Xenopus tropicalis: one gene and its partners. The protein of the gene in region 5 purifies or fractionates together with the protein of the main gene of each other region. This does not show direct contact. Links are inferred from orthologs where the notes say so. Each region holds a gene or a part of one and is shown on either strand. Other genes may lie near its edges. The genes, in order: ncbp3, upf1, upf2, rnps1, rbm8a, upf3a and ddx39b.

Evidence for each region.
Region 1: the proteins of rbm8a (region 5) and ncbp3 purify together in Homo sapiens (co-immunoprecipitation; 3 studies listed by BioGRID and IntAct, with this or other methods). This does not show direct contact. The link is inferred for Xenopus tropicalis from reciprocal best matches to the Homo sapiens genes RBM8A and NCBP3.
Region 2: the proteins of rbm8a (region 5) and upf1 purify together in Homo sapiens (co-immunoprecipitation; 7 studies listed by BioGRID and IntAct, with this or other methods). This does not show direct contact. The link is inferred for Xenopus tropicalis from reciprocal best matches to the Homo sapiens genes RBM8A and UPF1.
Region 3: the proteins of rbm8a (region 5) and upf2 purify together in Homo sapiens (co-immunoprecipitation; 6 studies listed by BioGRID and IntAct, with this or other methods). This does not show direct contact. The link is inferred for Xenopus tropicalis from reciprocal best matches to the Homo sapiens genes RBM8A and UPF2.
Region 4: the proteins of rbm8a (region 5) and rnps1 purify together in Homo sapiens (co-immunoprecipitation; 4 studies listed by BioGRID and IntAct, with this or other methods). This does not show direct contact. The link is inferred for Xenopus tropicalis from reciprocal best matches to the Homo sapiens genes RBM8A and RNPS1.
Region 6: the proteins of rbm8a (region 5) and upf3a purify together in Homo sapiens (co-immunoprecipitation; 4 studies listed by BioGRID and IntAct, with this or other methods). This does not show direct contact. The link is inferred for Xenopus tropicalis from reciprocal best matches to the Homo sapiens genes RBM8A and UPF3A.
Region 7: the proteins of rbm8a (region 5) and ddx39b purify together in Homo sapiens (co-immunoprecipitation; 4 studies listed by BioGRID and IntAct, with this or other methods). This does not show direct contact. The link is inferred for Xenopus tropicalis from reciprocal best matches to the Homo sapiens genes RBM8A and DDX39B.

Annotation. Positions count from the first base shown.
Region 1 is NC_030678.2:48,492,125-48,495,624, reverse strand, and holds part of ncbp3 (nuclear cap-binding protein subunit 3), read right to left. Parts: intron 1,583-3,500; coding exon 1,477-1,582; intron 641-1,476; coding exon 515-640; intron 1-514. UniProt on the Homo sapiens protein: Associates with NCBP1/CBP80 to form an alternative cap-binding complex (CBC) which plays a key role in mRNA export. NCBP3 serves as adapter protein linking the capped RNAs (m7GpppG-capped RNA) to NCBP1/CBP80.
Region 2 is NC_030677.2:98,881,279-98,885,244, reverse strand, and holds the start of upf1 (regulator of nonsense transcripts 1), read left to right. Parts: upstream 1-1,166; 5' UTR 1,167-1,422; coding exon 1,423-1,593; intron 1,594-3,966. UniProt on the Homo sapiens protein: RNA-dependent helicase required for nonsense-mediated decay (NMD) of aberrant mRNAs containing premature stop codons and modulates the expression level of normal mRNAs.
Region 3 is NC_030679.2:82,322,579-82,326,078, reverse strand, and holds part of upf2 (regulator of nonsense transcripts 2), read right to left. Parts: intron 3,350-3,500; coding exon 3,074-3,349; intron 2,720-3,073; coding exon 2,536-2,719; intron 1-2,535. UniProt on the Homo sapiens protein: Involved in nonsense-mediated decay (NMD) of mRNAs containing premature stop codons by associating with the nuclear exon junction complex (EJC).
Region 4 is NC_030685.2:21,739,514-21,743,513, reverse strand, and holds the start of rnps1 (RNA-binding protein with serine-rich domain 1), read right to left. Parts: upstream 2,801-4,000; 5' UTR 2,683-2,800; coding exon 2,681-2,682; intron 1-2,680. UniProt on the Homo sapiens protein: Part of pre- and post-splicing multiprotein mRNP complexes. Auxiliary component of the splicing-dependent multiprotein exon junction complex (EJC) deposited at splice junction on mRNAs.
Region 5 is NC_030684.2:142,190,208-142,194,345, reverse strand, and holds the start of rbm8a (RNA-binding protein 8A), read right to left. Parts: upstream 2,801-4,138; 5' UTR 2,796-2,800; coding exon 2,729-2,795; intron 986-2,728; coding exon 926-985; intron 839-925; coding exon 761-838; intron 432-760; coding exon 295-431; intron 1-294.
Region 6 is NC_030678.2:111,830,022-111,833,521, reverse strand, and holds part of upf3a (regulator of nonsense transcripts 3A), read right to left. Parts: intron 3,147-3,500; coding exon 3,048-3,146; intron 1,880-3,047; coding exon 1,769-1,879; intron 802-1,768; coding exon 746-801; intron 654-745; coding exon 495-653; intron 1-494. UniProt on the Homo sapiens protein: Involved in nonsense-mediated decay (NMD) of mRNAs containing premature stop codons by associating with the nuclear exon junction complex (EJC) and serving as link between the EJC core and NMD machinery.
Region 7 is NC_030684.2:74,189,668-74,192,816, reverse strand, and holds the end of ddx39b (spliceosome RNA helicase DDX39B), read left to right. Parts: intron 1-554; coding exon 555-664; intron 665-739; coding exon 740-884; intron 885-964; coding exon 965-1,112; intron 1,113-2,183; coding exon 2,184-2,200; 3' UTR 2,201-2,649; downstream 2,650-3,149. UniProt on the Homo sapiens protein: Involved in nuclear export of spliced and unspliced mRNA. Component of the TREX complex which is thought to couple mRNA transcription, processing and nuclear export, and specifically associates with spliced mRNA and not with unspliced pre-mRNA.

The DNA of each region.
Region 1 (3,500 bases), on a different chromosome or scaffold from region 5:
GCACGTGTTAATTAGTTCACCCCTTCTACAAATGGGATTTATACTACTGGTGACTACAGAACAACAGATCCAGAGCTATCTTTCTGCATTCAGCACTGGTGTCCATCTCTAAGTTTCTGAGGAAGAACTGAAATGATACATGCTATCAGAGTTGTGGAATGGATATTGCTGCCATACCAAATATATTAGGAGCACTTGTGGATATTCTTTAATATTATCTGCAAATGAAAACAGTTAAAACTATTCCAGAAAAAGAACATTTTTAGAACTAAACACAATCACCAGAAAATATGTTTCTCTTTAGATACAGAAAAAGTGACATACAAATAATGGCACTATTGAGACTGTTTTAAGGCTTCAGGTGTATTTGAAAGTAAGATCAGAAGGCTAAAACAAGACTGGATTGTTGGAATCGTAGTTACTGCACCAATATGCACTCATAACAAATGGCATTCTGTATTGTATAGAAAAATGAATTCTATCCAAGCATCTAGCAAAATAGGAATACACTTACAGGAGCTGTCATCCAGCCATTCAATGTATCCTGGAGGGTATTGCTTAAAGAAGGCAAAGATATCCTCAGTGCTCATATCATCAACACCATAGACATAAAGAGTTTCAAGGCGGACTTTGGGGATTGCTAAGGAAATAGTGAAAAAACATGTTAGAAGTTTTTCTTTTGCATTTCATAAACTGAAGAAATCAAAGATAATGGAGGAAACCGCCTCATAAATTATTTTAAACATCACTGTTGGCAGTAAATATATCTGGTGGTACAATTCTATTACTGCCAAGGAACAGACCTAACCCTTGGGCAAACGGTATTGGCAAGGTATATAGCAAAACAGTGTCAAAATCTGAAAGGGTTTGTTTTAGAAAGCAAAATTTAAAAAATAATTTTCTTTTGGCAATTTTAAGCAATGATGTTAAAGAGCAAGGAAAGGCTACTACTGTTGTATCCCTTAATATAGTGTAGAGCTCCCTTGCCCAAAGCAAATCACCAAATTTATTTTTTAAAATAAAATAACATCTCACAAAAATTGGCTTGTAACTTAGGTGTATTTGCAGCCTGTCACAGCCGCCATCTTGGATTCCTGGATTCCCCCGCTTGCAAACCGCCCCGTGGCGATCGAACACCACCGCCCGCTCGCAGGCTTCTCTTACTAAGATCGAGCAATGTGCATGCGCCACCTAGTGTCCTATTCACATAGTCAATGCACGAGCAATGCATTATGCGAATCCTCTTTATCTAGCTCTGCGTTTTTTATTCCTGTTTGGCTTCAGATCTTCTGAACAGGTGAAATATTGGGAGACTTAAGGGCACTATTGAGAGAACTGAAGGTATGCCTGCAGCTAGAGATTAACTCTTTATTAGCCTTTCCTTCTCCTTTAAATGATCAAATAACTAAATGCAACACTAAAGACAACACATAGCACCCATAGGTAATTTACAATGGAAAAGCCTCTCATAACCACCTTTTCTAATCATTTCTCGATCTAGTACCACATTCCTTTGTTGGTCACTGACTTCTGCTCGAAAATGAAACCGCTTTGCCCTCTGTTCCTTTTTCTCGATAGCCTCCTTAAAAACAAAACCAACACTGAGTTAGTATCTAACAGCAATCAGTTAACTCCATTATGCAGCCTGTGATTACAATTATTTTATGTATGTATAATTCTATTCATATAGTGCTACATATGTACACAGTGCTGTACAGCACAATAAATTCATAGAATAGGGTCAATACAATTACACTAATAAAAAGTACAGTTACAAAGATTTAACAGCTAAGTGTTAAAAAGACAAAAGGAAGGAGATCCCCTTGCTTAAAAGTCTTTATTTGTGTTTATTAGGAAAGTATAATATTGCATCTAACAATGGAAACAGAGTTTTGTATCATAAAATAAGACAGGTCTTATAACTCAAAGCAACTAATTTGTAGGAAGCATTTATGGGTCGCATGTTTGAAACTTTTTATGCAATAACCCATTACTAGCTATAAGTTCTTACACAAGCACCTGCCTGGGTTCGTTTATGGGGGTCCAGTGCACCAAACATTCCATGCAAGTGCAATCTACCAGTTACTAATGCATTGCATGTAATTCATTGCTTTGCTATATGGCAATATATAGTTAAGTACTGTCATAAAATCTTATAATGCTCCCCTTATTTATCCACCATCCTTATTACAGACCCTCTATCTCCCTGAATGCCAGTTTTTCATCTCTAAATTACCTCGGCCCCACTACTGATTCTTCCTGTAATTTCACACTGACTCCTACAATCCCACTGCATTTTCCTTCTTATTTATGCATTCTCTAAACCCTTTCTACTTCCATTAGAAACTGTAAGCCATGGATTTACTGCCCTCAATTAATTTCACCCATATGATGCCTTATGCCTATGACGAGTATATTAAACAAAACATATGTAAAGCCCAACGTTTATGGTATAGTAACATTTCATTGAGTATATACAATACATTGCATTTATACATATACACACACATACATGGAGGAATACTGTGACCGGCATCTCCCATAGACTCCATTTTAATCAAATAATTCTAATTTTTAAAATTGATTTCCTTTTTCTCTGTAATAGTAAAAGAGTACCTTGTACTTGATCCCAACTAAGATATACTTAATCCTTATTGGTGGCAACAATCCTATTGGGTTTATTTCATGGTAGAATGTTTCAAACAGACTTGGGGTGTGGATATCCCAATTATGGAAAGATCCTTTATCCGGAAAACCCCAGGTTCTAAGAATTCTGGATAAGAGGTCAAAAACCTGTACTCACAGGAGGTATCAAAAGCCAAGAGAAATGCATAGAACAACAAAACTGTAACTGTGGTCTTAAATGCCTTTAAATATTCCCTTTCACACCAATCTGAGTCACTGCAGACAGGAACTAAATACACACTAGTCATATACGCGTGTGTGTGCTTGGAGTGAAATGAAAGCAGTAGAGGCAGCTAAAATACCAGTCACTGTCTCTGCAAGCTCACAGACATAAAATGGTGCATAAACTGCATACAATGTTCCTTCTAAATTGTGCTCTGGTGTAAAAACACATTTGTATTTATTCTGACCATACAGTTTTTAAAAAAACGCACAGACACATTTGAAATGTCACACAACAGGTGCAGGCTGATCTGTTATCCACGAGAATTAATCAAACCTAAGAATAAGGTTCAAACTGACCATTCCTAGATATCAGCTAAAATGAAGGGCTCCTATGTATTACTTGTAGAGCAGTTTTAGTGCTGTATGTACTATATTAATTTGAAAAATGTAGCAACAGCAGAGATCAGAAGATAAACTGTATTTCTAAGTATCATTCTAAACTTTTCCACTATGAAGATAATTACATTTTAATAGTGTGCAAATTTTTTCTTGTAATACTGATTTGCAGTATAATTTTGAGGTTTTGCAAATGGTGAAAATTTTCATTAATTTGTGCTAGAAATTCGCTATATGGTTCGTTTTGCCAGGAA
Region 2 (3,966 bases), on a different chromosome or scaffold from region 5:
AGCAGTAATTATTTTTACTACTGGGTAAAATGATCAAGGAATGATAAAAATCGACCGCTCAGTCTCAGAAATAAACAACAATTTATAGTTATTCCTGCATGAACTGATATAAAGCACAAAAAGTCCACTGTATGTGTAAAATAAAAAATATATTTTACTAGGGGCTTGCTGATCGCATTACCCAAAGGCAGTCTCCTACAGTCAAATGCTTAGCAGCTGCTACTGGGCAACCCCTCTACAGTCCTTTCTCGTCACTGTGTAAAGATACCAACTTTCCATCCTCCATTATGGTCATCTGGACAGATGGCACAATCCATTATTCCTAGTGGCCAGGCCTCTGTAGTTGATTATGCCCACTGCTTAGCACCCCTGCAATGATATATTATCACTTATTAGCCACTGTATTGTGAAGACTACAGTCCAATATTTCACAAGGCTGCCTTCTCGCAGGAAACTATTGCGCCACTACAAACCTATCTGCAACATGTGCATTCGCCTCTTGGCACAGGGAATCCCCCAGTGCAATAAGAATAACTAGTACCAACATATTTCTACATAAGGAAGCTCACTCAATACTGCAGCAGTTTTTGCTCAGATCAGTGAAAGGACTGCACATTTTAGATTTTTTTTAAGTTGTACCAATTCCTGCAAATGTCAGACAACTCTCATACGAAGATATGGTGTTTTCTGATTTTCCAAGTAAACACCTAATTTATTTCGTTCAAAACCAGGTAACCCTGTCGGAGGTGTTCAAGTTTCTTTCTCCCGAACTGAAGACGCCATAATTATCATGCCTATGCTGCATGACAGGAACCAACAGGGCCCGGCCCCGATAAATAAATGCAGAAAATTAGTATCGCTACACAAAACTAATAAGTACTATCGCACGCATATAGGACAATCTCTTCCGCTGGCGCTAACATTTGCATCTCTTTGCTCGTTTAATTGCTAAACTCATTTTGATATCAGCCTAGCTTAGTAGGTGCCGACGTGTCTGTTACGTCACTCGTCTCCGCCCAGATTAAAAACAAGTTCTGCCTCTGCCGTCTATACTACCGTTCCCTCTTCCGATATAACCCAATTACATATTGATAGCGCGTCTTACTGCCCGAGAATCTTACTATTGAACAACAAATAACTGACACCAGCCCTGTTGTCAATAGCAACTAATAGCTACTGCTGTCGTCCCAACGTGATTACGTCACGTTGGCGCGCAAGCGCGTTCCTTCCTGTGCGGCTACGACTGACGTCATCCAGGACGGAGGGAGCTCGGTCGGAGGCAGTTCATATTTTTTTCTTTTTACCCGTGTTTCGTGTCTATTAGATAAGCGCTTCGTGGTGGCATCGAAGCCTTTGGGGACTCCATTAAAGCTGTGTAGGGATTAAAAAATTAATCGCTTTCCTGTTTCCTCGGCCGTCACAATGAGCGTGGAGGCGTACGGGCCCAGCTCGCAGACCCTCACTTTCTTGGATACGGAGGAGGCCGAGCTGCTCGGGGCCGACACTCAGGGCTCAGAGTTTGAGTTCACAGACTTCACGCTGCCTAGCCAGACACAGACACAAGGGCAAAGCCAGAACCAGCTGGACGGGCAGGTGAGAGACATGGCAGCTTCCGGGGGCGGGAATGTGCTTGTCAGGCCTCGCGTGTGTCGCTGCCGCTTCCATTGCCAGGCGGCATTAAGGTAGCGGGATGGAGTGCCCTCAAAATGTGCTTTCTTTATAAACTTCAGATGATTTCCGATTTTGTCTATGTTACGTTATATTTACCGTGTACGTAGTTGTATTACAGGGCTGGAAAGCTAAAAAATAGTTATTTATACTCGTGGTTAAATTGCTAACTCTCAACTTTGTTTGAATCGCAACTTTCTACATTAGGTCGCGACTCTTACATTGTAGTTCAACCCCTACCTAATGGGCAAAAGTTGTACATTATGTACTGTTCATATGCGATAGAAGCAAAATGGATAATCGAACTCATTGTATCCCTCGCTGACTTGACACATTATTCAGTCCCTTATTCCATGTTGGAATAGTGGCTTTCAGGTTCTCTATCCTAGGAGGTCTTTCACATAGAAACAGATTGTGAGCTCCACTGGGTCAGGGACTAATGGAAATGAAATGCATTGACGCAAAATAAAAGCCGATACATCAAAGTGCTGCTTGTGGGCTGGAAAATGGACTGTCACAAATTGTGTGAGTATCTTTGAACATCAGCAACTCACACAACTTTTCATTTGTACACTGTACACTTACCTTATTGCTGGTGAAATAATGTTTCTGGAACTTGCCCCTTCTGATGGCATCTCAAATGGATAGCAAATAACAAATGGTTAGTACTTCAAATCAGTGCACGTTCTCCAATGGCCACTGGTACACAAGTGACTTGAGTTGAAGCAGCAAATTAATTATTCTTCAGATTAAATGTTTTTATTGCACTTGGGAAGTGACAGCATTGTTTCAGGCAATGTTTAGCCCTTTATCAAGCTCATAAGAGGACCAAGCATGGCCCAAAACTTTCCTGTAATGCCCTAAGTATGCTGTTAAAGGAACAGTAACACCAAAAAATGAAAGTGTATAAAAGTAACTCAAATATAATGTGCTGCTGCCCTGCACTGGTAAAAGTTGTGTGTTTACTTCAGAAAGTCTACTATAGTTTATATAAATAAGCTGCTATGTAGCCATGGAGGCAGCCATTCAAAGGAGAAAAGGCACATAGCAGATAACAGATAAAGCACTATTGTATTCTACAGAACTTATCTGTTATCTGCTATGTAACCTGTGCCTTTTCTCCTTTTTTCCAGCTTGAATGGCTGCCCCCGGGGCTACACAGCAGCTTATTTATATAAATTATAGTAGTGTTACTGTAGCAAACACACCAGTTTTACCAGGGCAGGGCAACAGTGCATTACATTTTTATTACTTTAAAGCTCTTTCATTTTTTGGTGTTACTGTTCCTTTAAGGTATTTTGTGAAAAATAATCGTGGTCCTCTTCCAACTCTAGTCAGTCATCTCTGATGTCTGTTATGGTGGTAGGTTCTGTCCCTTCTCAATCTCTCACCAGGTAAAGCCTGGGTTGAAAAGGGGTGTGTAAGGTGGGTGCGGGCTCATAATTGGTAGGAAGAGAAATTAGCGGCAGATTCTAAAAGGATGTTAAATGGGCGCGTAGTACCAAGGACAAATATTTCTACCTCCTAAAAAATAAAGGGAAGCATCTTTACATGTTACAATTTGTGCTTCTTTAATGAGTTTGCCAAGAAATATTACTATTGCTAGTAGCTTCTACTATGCTTTTTGGAAATGATGCTTAAAACACTATGCCATGTTCACAACATACAACAAATTTACTATACAAATGAGGGTGTTTTTTTTTTTTTAAATCTTTATTAAAAGTGGTCACAATAATAGCACAGTATCTCTGATCATCCATCTGTAACAAATACCGTAAAGTGGATTGACATTTGAAGGCAAGGGAAAATTAGTATAACGTATATTTTATACAGTTACATAGGGTTTTAAAAAGTCCAGAGTCCATCAAGTTCAACCCTTCCAAGTAAACACAGACCTATACTTACCAATCTATACTATCACATACATAAACTATATATACAACCACTAATACTAACTGTAGATATTAGTATCACAATAGCCTTGGATACTATGCTTGTTCAAAAACTCGACAGTCTAACCTCAGAGCTTAAATCTTCCATCCCCTTTACCAGTTTAGTTGCACGTCTCTGCACTCTCTCCAGCTCTGGTATCATAAGAAAAGAAATTTACACTGAATACAAATAACTATTTAGTTCTAGTGATCAGTCCAAACAGTCACAATAAAGGGACCATGACTAACCATATTGTTATAGGTTTTTTAGTTGCATGTCTCTGCACTCTCCCAGGTCATTAATATCCTTAAGGACTGGAGCCCAAAACTGCACTGCATACTCAAGGTGAGGCCTTACCAGGGACCT
Region 3 (3,500 bases), on a different chromosome or scaffold from region 5:
CACACTTGTACCCTATTTCTCATTAATTTTTTTTTAATTAAAGAACAGGAGTTCTAATAAAAGCCTTACCTACATCTACTGGTAAAAACATCACAAATTCTCCTAGTGAAATATACATAATTTAATGCATAAACACCCTATCTTTCGAGCTCCTACCACTGTAACAGTTCTTTACACTGCTATTCAATTTAACACAATGGAGATTTGCACCTGGGCACTGACCCATGGCAAACAATCAAATCTTTGCTTTTATAGGTCTAAATCTAAATGCCTGAAAAAAAAATCACTTACAGGTTACTATGTGTTAGTGCACATTTTCCCAGTGCTATTAAAGTACCAGTATTTAGGGGGGAAAAAAAACAAAAAAACCCAAAACATATTTTCATACATATGCTGAATAGTTGACAGATTGTTCATTGTACATATTTTGTTGCCAAGAAGTACTAGTATGTATGTATATGTTTATTTATAAAGCGCTACTTATGTACGCAGCGCTGTACAGTAGAATATGTTAATACAACAGGGGGTTATTGAAATAATAATAGATAAATACAAAGTATAACAATAAATACAAGGTACAGTTGCAATAAGTAAGAATCAAGAGGATTCTGTAGAGCTTACAATCTAAATGGGAGGGTAACTTAGCAGACACAAATAGGCAGATATAAGTGCTGTAGGTTACAGTGGGTGACACTGCAATATAAGTGCTAGTTTCAAAGTAGTTTGACATTTTTCATATGAAACTTCTCTCCAGACAATATTAAGGGGATGGACAAAATAGCAAAAATACAAAACTCTCAAATTAATCTAGTAGTGTCTTAAGGGAGAGTTTTCAACTTGACATACGTGAACATCATGAATGAACAATAAAACAGCAAACTGACCTCAAATTCCTTGGCCCATATACAACCATAAAGAGCAATCATTAAATAAAAGTGTTGTCTTGCATCAAATAGTGTATTGACTCAAGGGATGAAAACATAATGTTGCCTCTTTATAGGTCTCAGGTAAAGCCTCACCTTGAGTATGCGGTACAGTTTTGGGCACCAGTCATTAAGAAGGATATTAGTGAGCTGGAGAGAGTGCAAAGACGTGCAACAAAAATGGTAAAGGGGATAGAAAATTTAAACTATTTGGTTAGACTATCAAGTTTGGTTGTTTTCTTTGGCAAAAAGGTGCGTGCGAGAGGACACGATTACTCTGTACAAGTACATTAGAAGGGATTATAGGCAGATAGGGGCAGCACACCATTGGCCACCCCTTTAGATTTGGGTTCTGTGCCCTTTACACCAGATCCTGGTTATTTGTGCAATGCCCTTGCACACAAGCAGTTCTGAAAGGCAACCCTACAATAAGTTACAGCTTTATGCATCTCTGTTTTTTTTAAGAAAGGGTCATACATATGCTTATTAAAACACCCTGTTACTATTTTGCACTGTATAAATACTTGGAAAAGTCTTGGAAAGTGTCAGTCTATACAAGCCATGGAGCTCAACTTACGACTGTGACTGATTATTATTATTATTTATATAGTGCCATCAATTTAAGCAGTGCTTTACAGAAGAGAGGGGTACAAAAGACAGAACAGTTAACATGTACATATAAACAATTCACAAAAAATGGTTTGCAGTTACATTGGATGAGGATCGGAGAAACTAGGGGGAGGGCCCTGCTCGCAAGAGCTTACATTCTAAAAAGAAAGGCTGAGACATAAGGTCGGGTAACTAGCATGGAGTTAGAGATCATGTAGGTATGTAAAGTGACAGTAAGTGCAGAGTGAGAGGTGAAAACAAGTGGTTAGTGAATGTTTGGGGGGTTTAGGTTATAGGCTTGAGTGAAAAGGTGAGTTTTAAGAGACCATTTAAAGGCTTGCAGAGTCTGGCAGTGCCTAATGGGATGGGGAAGAGCATTCTAGAGGATAGGTGCAGCGCGTAAGAAGTCCTGGATGCGAGAGTGAGAGGAGGTGATGAGTGAGGAGAAGAGAAGGAGGTTGTGTCTAGAGCGAAGGTTACGTCTGGGGGTGTACTTGGCGATTAGGGTGGTTAAATAGAGTGGTGCGGCACCAGTGAGCGCTTTGAAGGTGAGTGCGAGAATCTTGAACTGAATCCTGTATGTGACAGGTAGCCAGTGCAAGTGGCAGAGAGGGGCGGCACTTGTGGAGCGGGAGGAGAGGTGTATGAGTTTGGGACTGATGAGACTGATGCCCCTGCATTGCAATAAGATTGTTTGTACAGCTTAAAAGACGGTTTCGTATCACCTTGGAACTCTTGGAACGACTTATAAAGCTTATTGGCAATCAACTTACTATGAGCTACCTTTGTAGTTGTGATTGATATGATAATTTTTTTTTAATTTCATGTTTCTTTTTGTCCACCATTTGTAGGCAAGGCATACTACTATTAAGGTCGCTATAATCTTTATTTCTATTGATTAATGCAAAAGTGCCAGTCTAAGATTGAATGAAACATGTAAATTAGTGTGCAATAGCCCTTTGTAGCTCTCTGCAAAAGTTTAACAAGAAGCTGTTTTTCTTACCTAGCTTTGTCAGAAACTCACGCTCCAAATCCTGCACTTGGCGGACAGATTCATTCAGTGAGGCACAGAGCTTCATTTTTGGCCTCAGAAGCTCCAAGGTATCACTTATCATATAATCAATATCTATTGGAAATGGGTGGTCTTTAGTCCACACATCAAGACTTTTCTTCCACCAAACGTAGCGCTAAAGTAAGACACATAAAAAGTGAAATCAGAAACTGACTAATGCAAGAGACTAAGTTCTTTGTAAAGAAGTTAACAATTTATCTAACTCAAACAGAAAGATAAAATCTAAAATTCATTACACAGCTTTATAAGTATGTCTAAATGCATGCAGTGTACCTTGCGCACTGAAGTGGCCATGATTTTGTATTCCAATGTCACGTTATTAAAAATATGTCCCTAGTGTAGCATGGTCTTCAATTAAGTTTTAAACAATTCTGGTTAATAATAAACAGAGAGCTTAATCAAGATTTCTAAATCAATTGACACCTCACATATAATTATGAAGAGATATGTTTAAGTTGCAGTTACATACCTGAAAATAAACAAGAAAACAATCAAGCTTTCTCTTGCTTGATCCACGGTCAAAATACTGGCCACAAGTGTCAAGGATAGTGCAAACTAATCGAATGCGGAACAAGTGTTCAGGAGGATCAAGTGGGCTGGGGCTTCCATCAGAATTTACACCAAAGGAAATAAATGAATAAAGTGTGCGAAATATAACTGCAGATTCCACCATTCTATAGTTGTAAAGCTCCCCAAGGAACTTTGCACTGCTTATCCTCCGCTGATTAAATTTTGGCTGGTTAACCTACAAGAAAAAAATTTAGGAAGCCAACAATGCATACATTAGTTTATTCATTACTTTTACTCTTAACAGATATTGCATTTGATTTCTCATTACTTTAATGTGAAACAACTGTACAGAAAAACTTTCTTTAAAGGGGATGAGATCACTGGTC
Region 4 (4,000 bases), on a different chromosome or scaffold from region 5:
CCAGGTGATACGCTAGGATGGTAGGGCTAAAGAACTGGTGGGGTGCATGGGATTAAAGGAGAAGGAAATGTATAATCACTGGGGGGTGCCAAATGTTAGGTGCACTCCAGTAATTGCCAACGCTTTGCTAATACCCCAGGCGAGTGCTCCTGTTTGCTGAAAAACGCACTGGCCCAGGGTACATCTGTAAGAGTGCCACACTGCAATCTTTTCTTAAGCCCCAGGCTGGTGCACTCTTCAGCACACAGATGTCTGGCCCAGAGTATCAGGTAAGTGATTATATTCACTGGAGTGGGGGTACCATATATCCTGGAGATGGCACTTTCAAGGCAACTAATAATAACTATATTATCCAACCTAGAGCAGCCTGAAGCACAAGAAACCCGATTCCTCCCATGAAAAATAATGCCTTCCAGTGCTTAGTGGAGTGTCAGTGCTGTATTATGTGGCTGCTTCTGGGAACCAAAGTGCCTTCTTATAGGGGTTTGTGCCTTAAGAGCCAGTACCCAGCCAGCAGTGCTGCACTCCTGATGAAAATCTCTCCTTTGCTGATCTCCAAACCTTCTACAGCATTGGTGCAACTGGGTATTGGGGGTTCTTGGGCACTGAGTACCCTGCTTGCCAATGCAGTGCACACTTGCCTACTGAATTATGAGCAGGACGGCCATTCTGGAGAATCACTTAAGGGCGTACTTATTACCCCTGGAGACAAACTTCAGTGGTGATGTTACCCATAGCAACCAATCAGACCTTTACAATAAAACGCTGACTTCCGCTTTAAGCCGCGTACAGCTGAGCACTTCATCTGGTGCGCAACTGCTTTTTTTTTTTTAGAATGTTCCTGTAAGGGTGATACAGGGTCAAACAGCTGAAAAATGCAAGTGGGAGTAACATGTACCGGTTATTACAGCGATTAAAAGTTAAATTATGTTGGTCTGTGTAAACGCAGATGGAGGCTTTATTATGGGTACTGGAAACACGCAGGTCAGTGTGGTTCAGACTCTCCCCAACCTCAAAGCATATATGTACAACATAGCTATGGCCACCACCTTGTATTGTATCTCTCCTTAAGGGCTCTGGTACACGGGGAGATTAGTCGCCCGCGGCAAAACTCCCTGCTCGCGGGCGACTAATCTCCCCGAGTTGCCTTCCCTCTGCCATCCCACCGGCGACTTACACCGGCGAGGCGATTTCGGGAAATCGCCGAAAAAGCCTCGCGAGTCTTTTTCGGCGATTTGCGCGAAATCGCGCCGCCGCGTCTGCCATCCCGCCGGCGACTTACATGTTCGCCGGTGGGATGGCAGAGGGAAGGCAACTCGGGGAGATTAGTCGCCCGCGAGCAGGGAGTTTTGCCGCGGGCGACTAATCTCCCCGTGTACCAGAGCCCTTAATCCCTCCTCATTAATTTGCAGGCAACACTTGAAACCTTTATCCTGATAAGTTGAACAATTAGAAAACAAGGAAGGGGGGATTTAAAATGCCATGGTGGCCCTATAACACCTATATCCATGCAACTGTGGCACTTAAAGGAACAGTAACACCAAAAAATGAAAATGTATAAAAATAATAATAAAATATACTGCTGCCCTGCACTGGTACAACTGGTGTGTTTGCCTCAGAAATTTATATAAACAAAGCTGCTGTTTAGCCACGGGGGCAGCCATTCAAAGGAGAAAAGGCACAGGCACATAGGAGATAACAGATAAACTATTGTATTCTACAGAACTTATCTGTTATCTGCTATGTAACCTGTGCCTTTTCTCCTTTTTTCCAACTTTAATGGCTGCCCCCATGGCTACACAGCAGCTTATTTATATAAACTATAGTAGTGTTACTGTAGCAAACACAATTTTTACCAGTGCAGGGCAACAATACATTATATTATAATTACTTTAAAAAAAAACTTTAATTTTTTTGGTGTTACTGTTCCTTTAATAACAATGGGGTAGAGCATAGTACGTTTGGGCAGCGCTGGGGTCCTAATGTTCAATTCCAGCTGGGGGTCACTATCTACAAGGAGTTTATATGTAACCCTTAGACTGGGGCAGGTTCTGATGTAAATGGAGTATAATGTTGCTGTTATATAAATACAGAATTACTGGAGATCCAAGAACCCCAAGGTTTTTCCAGACATTTAATACATATATTAAAGCACTAAAACTAATGGTGCCCCAATACAAAACGTAAGCAAACCCACAGGGCAGCAGCACATATCAATGAATGAAAAAATCCAGTGCAAAGCATATACACATTGAGGGAATATACCCAGAGAGAAATACAAGGCAGCCTTCCCTAGACGGGGGCAGTCAAGCAGTGGCAGCCATTTTTGTTGTCCCCTTACATAAACACAACAATTTAACCAGTGCAAGCTCAGAAAGAATTCATTTTACATAAAGAAGAAATCGCCCAAACCCATATACAAAGGGAATAGTGTGCAGAAGAAACAACTCCCCAGGAAGGTATAGACGCAGCGATATGTGTATCCAATCAGCTGCGGCCTATACCCCCATAAATCCTCGGTACTGCGTTCGGGGCCAATCCCAAACACCACCCTGCTCTCTCTTAATCAATACATCGGTGAATAGAACCCGCCATGCTTCCCCTGCACCGTCCCACCAATATCCAACTCGTACGGAAAGCAGCGCTGCAGGATGGAAAAAGATTATGGAGCTCCGCTTACATTTTGCCGCTCTTTCGTTGCCTGTCCCTTCTAAGATCAGATAAACCGTCGCGTTCGTTGTGACGTGTCGCCGCCATCTTGAAACAAAAGATAAGCGACTCTGGTCGCCTTGGCGCTGACGTCACACATTGCTGGACGTGGGCGTGGCACAACAGCGGACGCAAATGCGATTCAGCCTTTTAAAGAAGTAGGATAGTCCCGAGTTGCAGCAGGAACATTACTAGTAATTGTCATTTCTAGGAGTGACGGGGTTAATATGTGTGCGTGTATGTCTATTGCACGGAGCGGAAACCTATGCTGCTTCCTGTTTTGCTCCGTAAACAAACACTAAGTGCGATATGGTTATAAAGAAACTGTGCCAGAAGTACAACTACGCGTCGGTATATAGATAGGTGCGAGGGACAGCCGCTATAAAGGCAAGTGTGGCCTGTGTTAGGAGAGGTGCAGGGATGTTAGTTCTTCCGGATGGGAGGATTGCTTTACGTGTCTCGTCGCACTTTTGGGGCCCATAAGGTGGTGAGTGTGACAAAAAGCAAGGGTGACCCTTTACCTTTGGGAAAAAAGAGTGCAACTAGTCTAGCTCCCCATAAGGTTTGCTTGAGTTGTTGGGAACCCCCATAAACCCGGCTGTCTAGGGGGTTTGCATGAGTTGTCAAGGCCACCATAAGTCCCGCTAGAGTTGCCCAGGGCAACCCTTAGGTTTGCCTGAGTTATAAAGGGCATCCATAAACCTTACTTAGGTCGCCTAGGGCAAGCATAAGGTTTGTATACATTGTACAGGATTCAGTAAGGTTTCATTGAACCTTCCAGAAGGTCCCTAAGGTTTGGAGGGAAGCTGTTCTGATCTGTCCTCTCATAAAGGGAATATTTCCCCTCTTATAAATAAGGTGCATATTCCTTTTAATGCTACACTCAAATCCACAGAGAACTTAAAGGGTCAGTTACTGTACTCACAACACAGAATTGCCTGCCTGAAGGGTTTGATTGGTATCAGCATCACCTTTAATGAGCCCCCTGACCTATTTTTATTAGGTGGGGAGAGAAGCAGGTTCTGTGGATGTATTAGGAGGAGGTGAGAGGTAGGTGCCCTGATGTCTGTTAGTTGGAAGTGAAAGGTATGTTCCCATATGAGGAGTGGGTGTCTGTATCTCTGATGACTGCGTATAAAGAAGGACTGGGCAGTTTTATCATGGGTAGGGGTCAGAATTACTTGTGTCCTAATGTATGTAGTGAGAAATGATATTGGTTTTATTCATGACTCTAACACCAACCTCCTGTTTTCTTCAGATCATTAGTTGCAAGCAATGAAATAAAAGTACC
Region 5 (4,138 bases):
TGCAAACAGGACAGCCCTGAAATAAAAATAATTCAGAAGCTACCAGTAATAAAATATGAAGACCAATTGCAAATTGTCTCAAAATAGTGACATCATATTAAATGTTACCCAAAGGGGACAATGAATCCTGATCCAAAATAGCCCAATGGGTTCAAGCCAATCCTCACCTTTTTCCAATGAGAAGTGATGGATTATGGGAAGCAGAGGGAATTTTAGTCCCATAATGCATCTCTTCAACACGGAACAAGGTGAGAATATTAACCCGGCCCAAATGACTGGAACAGAACCACTCACCTTAAGGAAGCCGGTCCTCCGGTCCAGATTCAGGTGGATGTTCTTGATCTCCCCAAATTCTCCAAACTTATCGTGTATATCCTCCTCTGTGGCTTCCTCGTGCACCCCGGTCACAAACAGGATCCAGCCTTCCACAGCTGCGGGGGGAGAGTGCACCCCGTTATACAGTGATAGGACCTCCCCCCAACAGGCCCCGCCTTCTGTGTCTCAGCCCAAGTAAATGAGACAGGGAGAGAGCAACAGTGCCACCCCCTGGCCACAAACCATAGTGCAGCAATAAAGAGTTCTGCTTTCAGGCTGCAGTGGGTTCCAGCACGGAGGACTAAGGGCTCCCAGCATGCAGTGCAGCAGTAGTTTCTGCGGGCGTACCCCCATACAGCACTGGCAGCGCCGGGGTCCCTACACAAGGGCAGTTCTGTGGGGCCGTATAACAGAAATGACAGGGAGAGGGGGGTGGGGCACTTACATCTTTGGGGGCCCGGCTCGTCCCCATCCTGCTCCACACTGTCATAGTCTTCCCGGATCCTCGCTCTGGTGCCTTCATCTTAAAGCAAAAGGACAACAAAGTGAACTCCATCGCCAACAAGTAACCCTACAGCCTGGCGCTTGTACCAGCCAATCAGGGACCTACCTGCACCGAATCCTCTGCCCTTCCTTTTCTTGGCCTTTTCCTTCAGTTTGTGGATACTCTCTGGAACCAAAGGAAACGTACATTACCAGTCATACTCCAACCAATATGGCGGCACCACCAGTCACATGACCTATAACCTCTACAAGGTCCAATGAAATCCAGTTTAATCAAGAGGCTTCTCATCAGTTCATTACTTCATTTCAATAGACCGGAACCAACTAATACTACTCTCACTGTCCTACTGCCCAATCCCACTGGTCTGGCCAACCCCACAGTATAAAGGCTCCTTATTCACTCACCCTGCCTTCTATACAAACTGCAGTCACAACTTGCCCTCATAGTAAGGAACCCCTTCCTATGCTGATGGTGAGATACCCTTTCCTCCCCACCCCCAATGTATCACTCATTCCCCCTCTCTTGGTAGGGAACCCCATAACCTGACTGCCCTTACAGTAAGGAACCCCTTCCTATGCTGATGGTGAGATCCCCTTTCCTCCCCACCCCCAGTGAATCACTCATTCCCCCTCTCTGGGTAGGGAACCCCATAACCTGACTGCCCTTACAGTAAGGAACCCCTTCCTATGCTGATGGTGAGATCCCCTTTCCTCCCCACCCCCAATGTATCACTCATTCCCCCTCTCTGGGTAGGGAACCCCATAACCTGACTGCCCTTACAGTAAGGAACCCCTTCCTATGCTGATGGTGAGATCCCCTTTCCTCCCCACCCCCAATGTATCACTCATTCCCCCTCTCTTGGTAGGGAACCCATAACCTGACTGCCCTTACAGTAAGGAACCCCTTCCTATGCTGATGGTGAGATCCCCTTTCCTCCCCACCCCCAGTGAATCACTCATTCCCCCTCTCTGGGTAGGGAACCCCATAACCTGACTGCCCTTACAGTAAGGAACCCCTTCCTATGCTGATGGTGAGATCTCCTTTCCTCCCCACCCCCAATGTATCACTCATTCCCCCTCTCTTGGTAGGGAACCCCATAACCTGACTGCCCTTACAGTAAGGAACCCCTTCCTATGCTGATGGTGAGATCCCCTTTCCTCCCCACCCCCAGTGAATCACTCATTCCCCCTCTCTGGGTAGGGAACCCCATAACCTGACTGCCCTTACAGTAAGGAACCCCTTCCTATGCTGATGGTGAGATCTCCTTTCCTCCCCACCCCCAATGTATCACTCATTCCCCCTCTCTTGGTAGGGAACCCCATAACCTGACTGCCCTTACAGTAAGGAACCCCTTCCTATGCTGATGGTGAGATCCCCTTTCCTCCCCACCCCCAATGTATCACTCATTCCCCCTCTCTTGGTAGGGAACCCCATAACCTGACTGCCCTTACAGTAAGGAACCCCTTCCTATGCTGATGGTGAGATCTCCTTTCCTCCCCACCCCAATGAATCACTCATTCCCCCTCTCTGGGTAGGGAACCCCATAACCTGACTGCCCTTACAGTAAGGAACCCCTTCCTATGCTGATGGTGAGATCCCCTTTCCCCCCCCCACCCCCAATGTATCACTCATTCCCCCTCTCTTGGTAGGGACACACACAGATAACAATAAATGGTTGGCCAGAGAGAATATTGTAAAACGTAAAAGCCCACAGGGAGGCTGAAAGCGGCACAATTTCCCAGCAGCCTTTATAAAACCACGTGGTCCCCGTTATCCCCCCCCCCCCCCCCCCTTGTGCTGTACCCTCTCTGAGCGCTCATCCCTATCAGTCCCGCAAGCACCAGGCCTCATTCCCGGCCTCCTTACTGAGCGGCACACTCTATACACCAGCCCTACACGCAGCCATACCGTCCCCATCTTCATCCATAGCGAAGTCTTCCCCGCCAGCTTCGTGTAAATCCAGCACATCCGCCATGTTCGCTACCGACCAGCTCCGAGTTACCGCGTACTGAAGCTCGGCTTCTCGGCAGCGCTAAACAACAGCTTCCGGCACGGCAAACTACGTAGTAAAGAAAGCGCCACTATGACGGAAGTGACGAAATGTCCTCCAGTTGCGCGCCATGTTGGGGAGGTCTGGCTAGGTTTAGTACTGAAGCGGCCCCATTAAATGTACATTAGAGATGTATTAATCAGATGAGCAGTAGCACCTTGTGTTTTATATAATGCAATGTTTATCTGTATGTAATCTGAGGAAAGCCTCTGTTAGCATACATGATTCTATCCAATTAGTATTGGTTTTATTCCTGTGGGGGTGTAAATGGAAATAGTTGCGAAGAAGGTATTTATCAGTGTTTTTCTGGCTTTGCGCCCCCTTTTTGCACCAACATGTAACAGTGAATTCATCTGTAAACATAGTAAATATGGACTCTAGTGAATATCCCCTGTGGGATCAGTGGTTTATGGACCCTTTGTATTTACAGTAATGGTGTCTGCCTCGTCCCTGAACATCAGCAATGCAACATCTGTAGTTACTCTGCCTACTGGCATGGGGCAACTCATTCCCCGGTTATTTCAGCACTTCATCCTAGACTGAAAACATGGAGATCTCACCATCAGCATAGGAAGGGGTTCCTTACTGTAAGGGCAGTCAGGTTATGGGGTTCCCTACCAAGAGAAGGGGAATGAGTGATACATTGGGGGTGGGGAGGAAAGGAGATCTCACCATTAGCATAGGAAGGGGTTCCTTACTGTAACGACAGTCAGATTATGGGGTTCCCTACCAAGAGAGGGGGAATGAGTGATACATTGGGGGTGGGGAGGAAAGGGGATCTCACCATCAGCATAGGAAGGGGTTCCTTACTGTAACGACAGTCAGATTATGGGGTTCCCTACCAAGAGAGGGGGAATGAGTGATACATTGGGGGTGGGGAGGAAAGGAGATCTCACCATTAGCATAGGAAGGGGTTCCTTACTGTAACGACAGTCAGATTATGGGATTCCCTACCCAGAGAGGGGGAATGAGTGATACATTGGGGGTGGGGAGGAAAGGAGATCTCACCATTAGCATAGGAAGGGGTTCCTTACTGTAAGGGCAGTCAGGTTATGGGATTCCCTACCCAGAGAGGGGGAATGAGTGATACATTGGGGGTGGGGAGGAAAGGGGATCTCACCATCAGCATAGGAAGGGGTTCCTTACTGTAACGACAGTCAGATTATGGGGTTCCCTACCAAGAGAGGGGGAATGAGTGATACATTGGGGGTGGGGAGGAAAGGAGATCTCACCATTAGCATAGGAAGGGGTTCCTTACTGTAACGACA
Region 6 (3,500 bases), on a different chromosome or scaffold from region 5:
TAGGGAGATACAAATCCGTCAATGTTATTAAATAAGCTTAGCTCACATTTAAAAATATATCACACTACTCAAAATGCTTCAATTTAAATGTTTCATTTGAAGCAGAATTAGTCTTGGAGATACCACAGTTTAAAGAGCATCTAGCTCCTGGTTAATTTATATTGTACCAACACTCCACAGGGTGAAGGTGTTCCAGGCCCAGAATGGCAGATGCCAAAGGGGCTGCTGTATGATGCCACAGACAGTCACTATTGATTGAGCCTGTGGGGGAATGGTTGGACCTCGTTGTATGAAATGCCAGGGCCTATTTTAAATCTCAGTCCAGACCGGACCCATTCCCACAGGGAAAAGTGTGAAGCAATTTAGTCTATAGTTATCACAGGTGCTACACAAACATAACTGTCATAATAAAGTTAACATGTTTACAACCTTCCCACACTTCTTTTAACACATTACTGCAATGGATATAGGTATATAACCATGGTTTAAGTCACCTTAATTCTAATTTCTTTTTCAGAGATTTTCTTTTGCTTATCTGCTTCTTTCCGTTTACGCCTTTCCTCTTCTCTACGTTTTCTCTTTTCTTCTTCTCTTATCCGTTTCTTCTCAAGTTCACGCCTCCTTCTCTCTTCTCTTTTTTCTTCTCTTATTCTCTTTGAATTAAAAAACAGCTATTAATGCTTTCAGGGCTCATATACTGTAAAAGGCATCAATTTGTATTTATTATTCGGCATGAAATGGTTACCTGTTTTTCCAGTTTCCTGTTCTTTATAAATTCCAGTAGAGGAGTTGTTCTTCTGGCTAAAAACAAATTTACAGACAAATCACATTCCTCAATTTGATCTAAAACTATAAATAATTTATAAGGATAATTATGGCAGTTCCAGTGTAAACATAAAAATTTACTTATTTTTCACACTGTCTCAAACTTGGCTGCCATGTAGGTTAACTTATGCAATGGAAGAATGTAGTCTATTATTTTGATGTCACTGACACATCTAATAAAATCCAAAATGGAGAGCTCCTGTGCAAAACTCCAGAAGGCCTGGATCATCACTGTTATAAAATTCTGCGTTATGGATTTAATTTTACTTTAAAGGACAAGGAAAGCCTAATTTACACCCTGATGTCACCTTACATGTCTCTCCTATACATCCCTTGTGAAGAATAAGGCTTGCACATGTGCGGTAGTGTAATATCGGATTTTTTTTTTTTTCCCAAAGTAGTCTTCCAGATCAGCAGGAGAACCAGGCTTAGGTAACTGTTTCAAATCATATTATTACATTTAAAAATCATGAAAAGGCTACATATTTTTCAGTCAGTTGATGTATATTGCAAAATAGCTTGAAATTATATTTACTTTTCAAAAACCTAAAGTTGTGTTTGGGTGGAGTTAAGATGCATAGAGATGCCTAAAAATAGACAGAAAAATAGCAGTCCAGCACTTCTTTAGCACTGGACCAGGGTACCTAACATTTTGACCCCCCACAGTGAATTGGGATTTCCTTGTCCTATTGCCAGAAAGTGGCCCATGGGTAAGGCCCCATGGATAATTGGTCCTGTACTGATGTCACACCCCAGTATCCATGATAATATTAGTGCCTGTACACAGCCACTCTGGAATGGCAGACCATCAATACAGAATTTTCATCAAAACTTGCTTTTAGAAAAATACCAGTTAAAAAAAAAATCTTAAAGGAGGATGTAAATCTTAAGCCATAGCATTTAACCATTACAGCACAATATCATATGTATTTGAAAAACTTACCAATTAGTTCCTTTGTTTTTGCTTCAATTTCTCCCAGCAGAGTCTCTGGATTTGCATAAACTTTCTCTTCCTCAGCACAGTAGTTTTCTAAAAATTTCTTGTACTCAAGGTCTAAAATTTAATTAATTAATAAATTAAAGATAGTAAAAGGAATTATTGCTTATCTGGACTGAAAATGGATGCAAGGCTTGCAAAAACATGAATATGGGCACTTTATTAGTTATTAGTGTGTTTACATATTTATTTTAGGTTTGCTAAAAACCTTCATTTGTTGTGTGCATTTTTGCAAAAACATGAAGACAAGAACAAAAACCAATGTCCTTGCTCTTAACCCTAGTACTATGTAGTGCTGTATAAAACTATGTGGTTTATTTGCCAACACTATACAAATTTGAACCTGGGAGAGTAAGTGATAGCAACCAATAAGTGGTTAGATTTTTTCAACCAGCTGAAGTTAGAATAATGAAAGCAAAAGTTAATTGGTAGCCAAAATTACTATCTGTGTGCAAATGTGTCCATTGCTAATAAATTAGCTTCTGTAACTGTACAACTGTGGCTGCTTTGGCTATTCACTAATGTTAATAACTGAATGGCTATGGAAAACGGCATCCTAGGTGAGTTGCTTCTAAGGCTATGTACACGTGGTTTGAGAATATGCTTTTGCCATCTTAACACAAGCATTTTTATAAGTAAATATATGTGCCAAAGTGGTCACAATGTGCTTGTATTATATGTTTTTATACATTTTACAATATATCACAGTCCTAATATTAATTCAAATGTGTCAGATGCAAGAAAATTATGTATGCTGAAATAAAAAAAATAACTTAAAAACAAAGTTGATTGAAAATGCTGAGCTATGAGTACACTACTCTTTGCAGCACAATTTTTATTTAAATACAGTGTGCTTAAGTAGTAGTAACAATGCATCTAAAATGCATGAATTTTTGCACTCCTAAAAAAAGACTAAGAATTCTCACCTATAAGTTAATCTTTCCTACTCTCAGTGATACCTTGCAGATGTCTTTTACAACAGGGGTCCCCAACCGCCGGGCCGCGGATTGCATGGCAGTGGGCCACAGCGCACCCCCCCCCCCTACCGGCCCATGGTGCTAAAAAGGTCGGGGACCCCTGTTTTACAAGAGTGATGTAGCAGTATGTACATCTGGCACACTGCTTGTATACGTATGTCTTTTTTTACCCCACCTAACATGCATACATATTTCTGATAGCAACAAACTGCAAGGCATATTTATGAACATAAAATTTGTATCCGTGCCTTCTGCTATACTTCCTGCTTTTGCATCTTTTTTCTTTAGCTTCTTTTTAGAAATCTTTTGGAAAGGAGCAAATTCAACCACTGCAGGGTATTCCTGGCCTGTGAAAAAATAAAAAGATAAAAATAATGTTAAGTGATCACAAGGGATTGAAAATATTTTGCAAATGAAAGGCATATAAAAGACATAATGGATCACTGATGAGGCAGAAATTTCTGTTCTTCACACTGATTTTTGTATTGTGCCTCCATAGCTAATCACAGAAGAAATCAATTGTATTCAGATGCTTAGCAATTGGATTCCCTTGGGGTTGTCTAACATACTGTCACCAGTGAATCCATCTTTGCTTGTTCTTTAAAGGGCACACTGTTCTGGATACACTATATGTTCTATGTATTACTGCCATATTAAAAAAACTGGAGTAATACTTTGCATGCACTTACTCTGTGATGTGT
Region 7 (3,149 bases), about 68 Mb from region 5:
ACTTTTTGAATTTTTTGGATATCAACAGTACATTATATTTCATTTACTTTAAAAAATCTTTGGTGTTACTGTTCCTTTAAGGCATTGAAATGTTTTTGTTTGTATTTGAAAATAAGTTCTATGGCATAAGTGGTATTTTGAGTGCCAAAGCTAGTGATCCTGAGCTGTGCTATATGCTTATGTCAGGTGTATGCCTACAATTTGAGGTTTGCCATCGTATGACTTAAGACAAGCATCCTCAAACTACAGCCAGATCCGGCCCCTGCTTTGTCCTCACCCCTGGCAGCGGGGAGCTGGGAGATAGAGAACGGAGCAGAGAGCAGGAGGCTGCAGCGGGGAAACTTGGAGAGGGAGGAGGCAGGAGTGTGCTGTAGTTTGACCCCGCAGTGGGGAGCAGGCAATGAGAGAGGGCCATAGTTGGAGGACTATAGTCCTGCCCCCCCAACATTGTGAGGGGTCATAAACTGGCCCGCTGTTTAAAAAGTTTGACTTAGGATGACTTTGAATTGGTGAGCTGCATCTGGGTCCCATATTTTTAATAAACTTTTACACAGGTGGTGATCTTTGTGAAATCAGTCCAGCGCTGCATCGCACTTGCTCAGCTACTAGTGGAACAGAACTTCCCAGCCATAGCGATTCACCGTGGCATGTCACAAGAGGAAAGGTAGGAAGAAAAAACTAGGATTTTTTTCTTTTCAAAGCAGAAAGATTTATAATTTCTCTTATGTGAAATTTGCAGGCTCTCACGCTATCAACAATTTAAGGATTTCCAGAGGCGAATTTTAGTTGCTACAAACCTGTTTGGCCGTGGAATGGACATTGAGAGGGTTAACATTGCTTTCAACTATGATATGCCAGAGGACTCTGATACGTACCTGCACAGGGTCTGTATTCATGGCATTAGCCTGTAGCACATCTGTATCTTTGTGAGTGGTTCATTTACTAACAGTCATTCTTATGACAGGTGGCTCGAGCTGGCAGATTTGGTACAAAAGGTTTGGCTATTACATTTGTCTCTGATGAGGGGGATGCTAAAATTCTAAATGAAGTTCAAGATCGTTTTGAAGTTAACATCAGTGAGCTGCCTGATGAAATTGATATCTCCTCGTACAGTGAGTTTGCATTTTGAGTGTTCCTTTATAACACTATTGCATAGTTGATGTATGCCTTCTCTCACTTAAAATCTTTACAATATTTGTGATTTTGGTGCTTCAAAATCAATAACTTGGTTTTACAAAGATTGCTAAAGTATGTTTGCCTTCGTTTCTACTTAATCTGGTCCTATCACTTAGTGAGGATATAATAACAGTAGCATGTTGACCTGGTTCTGTAAGCCCGCATTATTCAGGGGGCCAATGACCTGATCATCCTGATTGGGTCTGTGTGTGGGTTGCCAAATCAGGCAAGATGTTAAGGCATATAGCTATACTTGCCTAATAAATTAGCTTGCCTTTAAATTGTGGTGCGCTCAAAGAATTTTGTGCTACGCACACCTGCACACACAATTTATTTTTTTTCCGGACACAGACAAGAAATTAGAGGGAACATTGTTTCAAATCTATTTTAAAGGAGAAAAAAAGGTAAAAACTAAGTAAGCTTTATCAGAAAGGTCTATGTAAATGCAGCCATAAGCACTCACAGAAATGCTGCACTGACTTCTGTCAAAAGATTTCTTGTGTCTGTAATTCATGTGCCAAAGACACACAGCTCTCTGCTGTCTCCTCTTTCCTGCTCCCCCCTCCCTCAAGAATGCTAAGAACTCACTCCCCCCCTTTAGGAATGTGGATCTGAGCCATTCAGCAGGAAGCTGACTCATAGTCTGAGCATGTACACTTTGGTCTCGGTCTAGGAGTGAGGCATTATGGGAACTTGCTTTACACAGCTCAGCGTTTTTTCTTCCTGTTTGGCTTCTGATCATCTGAACAGGTGAAATATGGGGAGACTTAAGGGCACTATTGAGACAACTGAAGGTATGCCTGCAGCTTGAGATTAACTCTTTATTAGCCTTTCTTCTTCTTTAACTATAGAGGAGGGATTCTAAACCTATGGTTTATGACCCAAAAATTGGTTTCCATGCTGTTTCACAATCCCGCTAAATAATGTTTTTTGTTTGTGAAGCCAATTGTGCAACATAATTTGAGCCCCCAAGAAAAAAATTTTAAGAACCACTGCTCTTCTTTCAGTTGAACAGACACGGTGAACCTGAATCTATTCTGCTTCCTGCGTGCTGCTTCCCTCTGCATTGGTTTTCTTCTAAGCGTGGGAAAAGGAACTCACCAGCCAAAATGTCACCGAAAGAGCCTGGAAGACTTTCTTCATCCAGCCCACATCTGTGTATTGTACATTGAACACAGCAGCACACGTCTTTAAATTCCCTTTAAGGGTCCTGCAGACTACTGCAACAGTGGTTAAAATAACATAGTAGAAACTTCCAGAACCCATATAATCTAGTTCCATTTCTGTTGGTATTAATAAAGGAGCAGTGCTCTGTGGGTTTCTGGTATAGTGTTGTATTTGATTAGTTTTATACCGTATCCAGTGAGGATCAACTTTTGTTTAGTAACACTGCTGTGACCGGTGCTGTCACTGACTTGTATTTTGTGAATTTATGACAAGAACATGTCACAAAAAAATAAAAGTTACTACAGATGTGATGTAATTTTATTTTTCATTGTTGGCTAAAGTAACTATACAAATATTTAAAAAAAACAAAAAAAACTGAATTTAAAAAATTACAGAATTTATAAAAGAAGAGCAAAGCATTATTTCTTGATGGTGGGGCAGGGTACAAAAATAAACTGTGTCATTGCAGGTTCTTGCTCTTCCCACACATTCCATCAGTGTTGCATTCATGAGGGGTGGGCAGCAGGCAGCCTGTTGGCTTCCCTTTCCTGCCCCCTAACTTGCTCTAAGTTCAGAGTTAGCCTGGCAGGAGAGGGAGCCCTGTACTTATCGCCTGCCTTGCATCCACAAGGGATGCCTTTTGCACCCTGTGCCACATAAATTAATGAAAACCATTTTTTTTTTTCAAATAATTAAAACAAAAGCAAAAATTATGTTCAGCAGAAGCCCTTTTCATTAAAATCATGCTGGACAAGGGGGTATGATGTCTATTTAAAGGAGCAATATGCACCTTTTTTTACATTAAC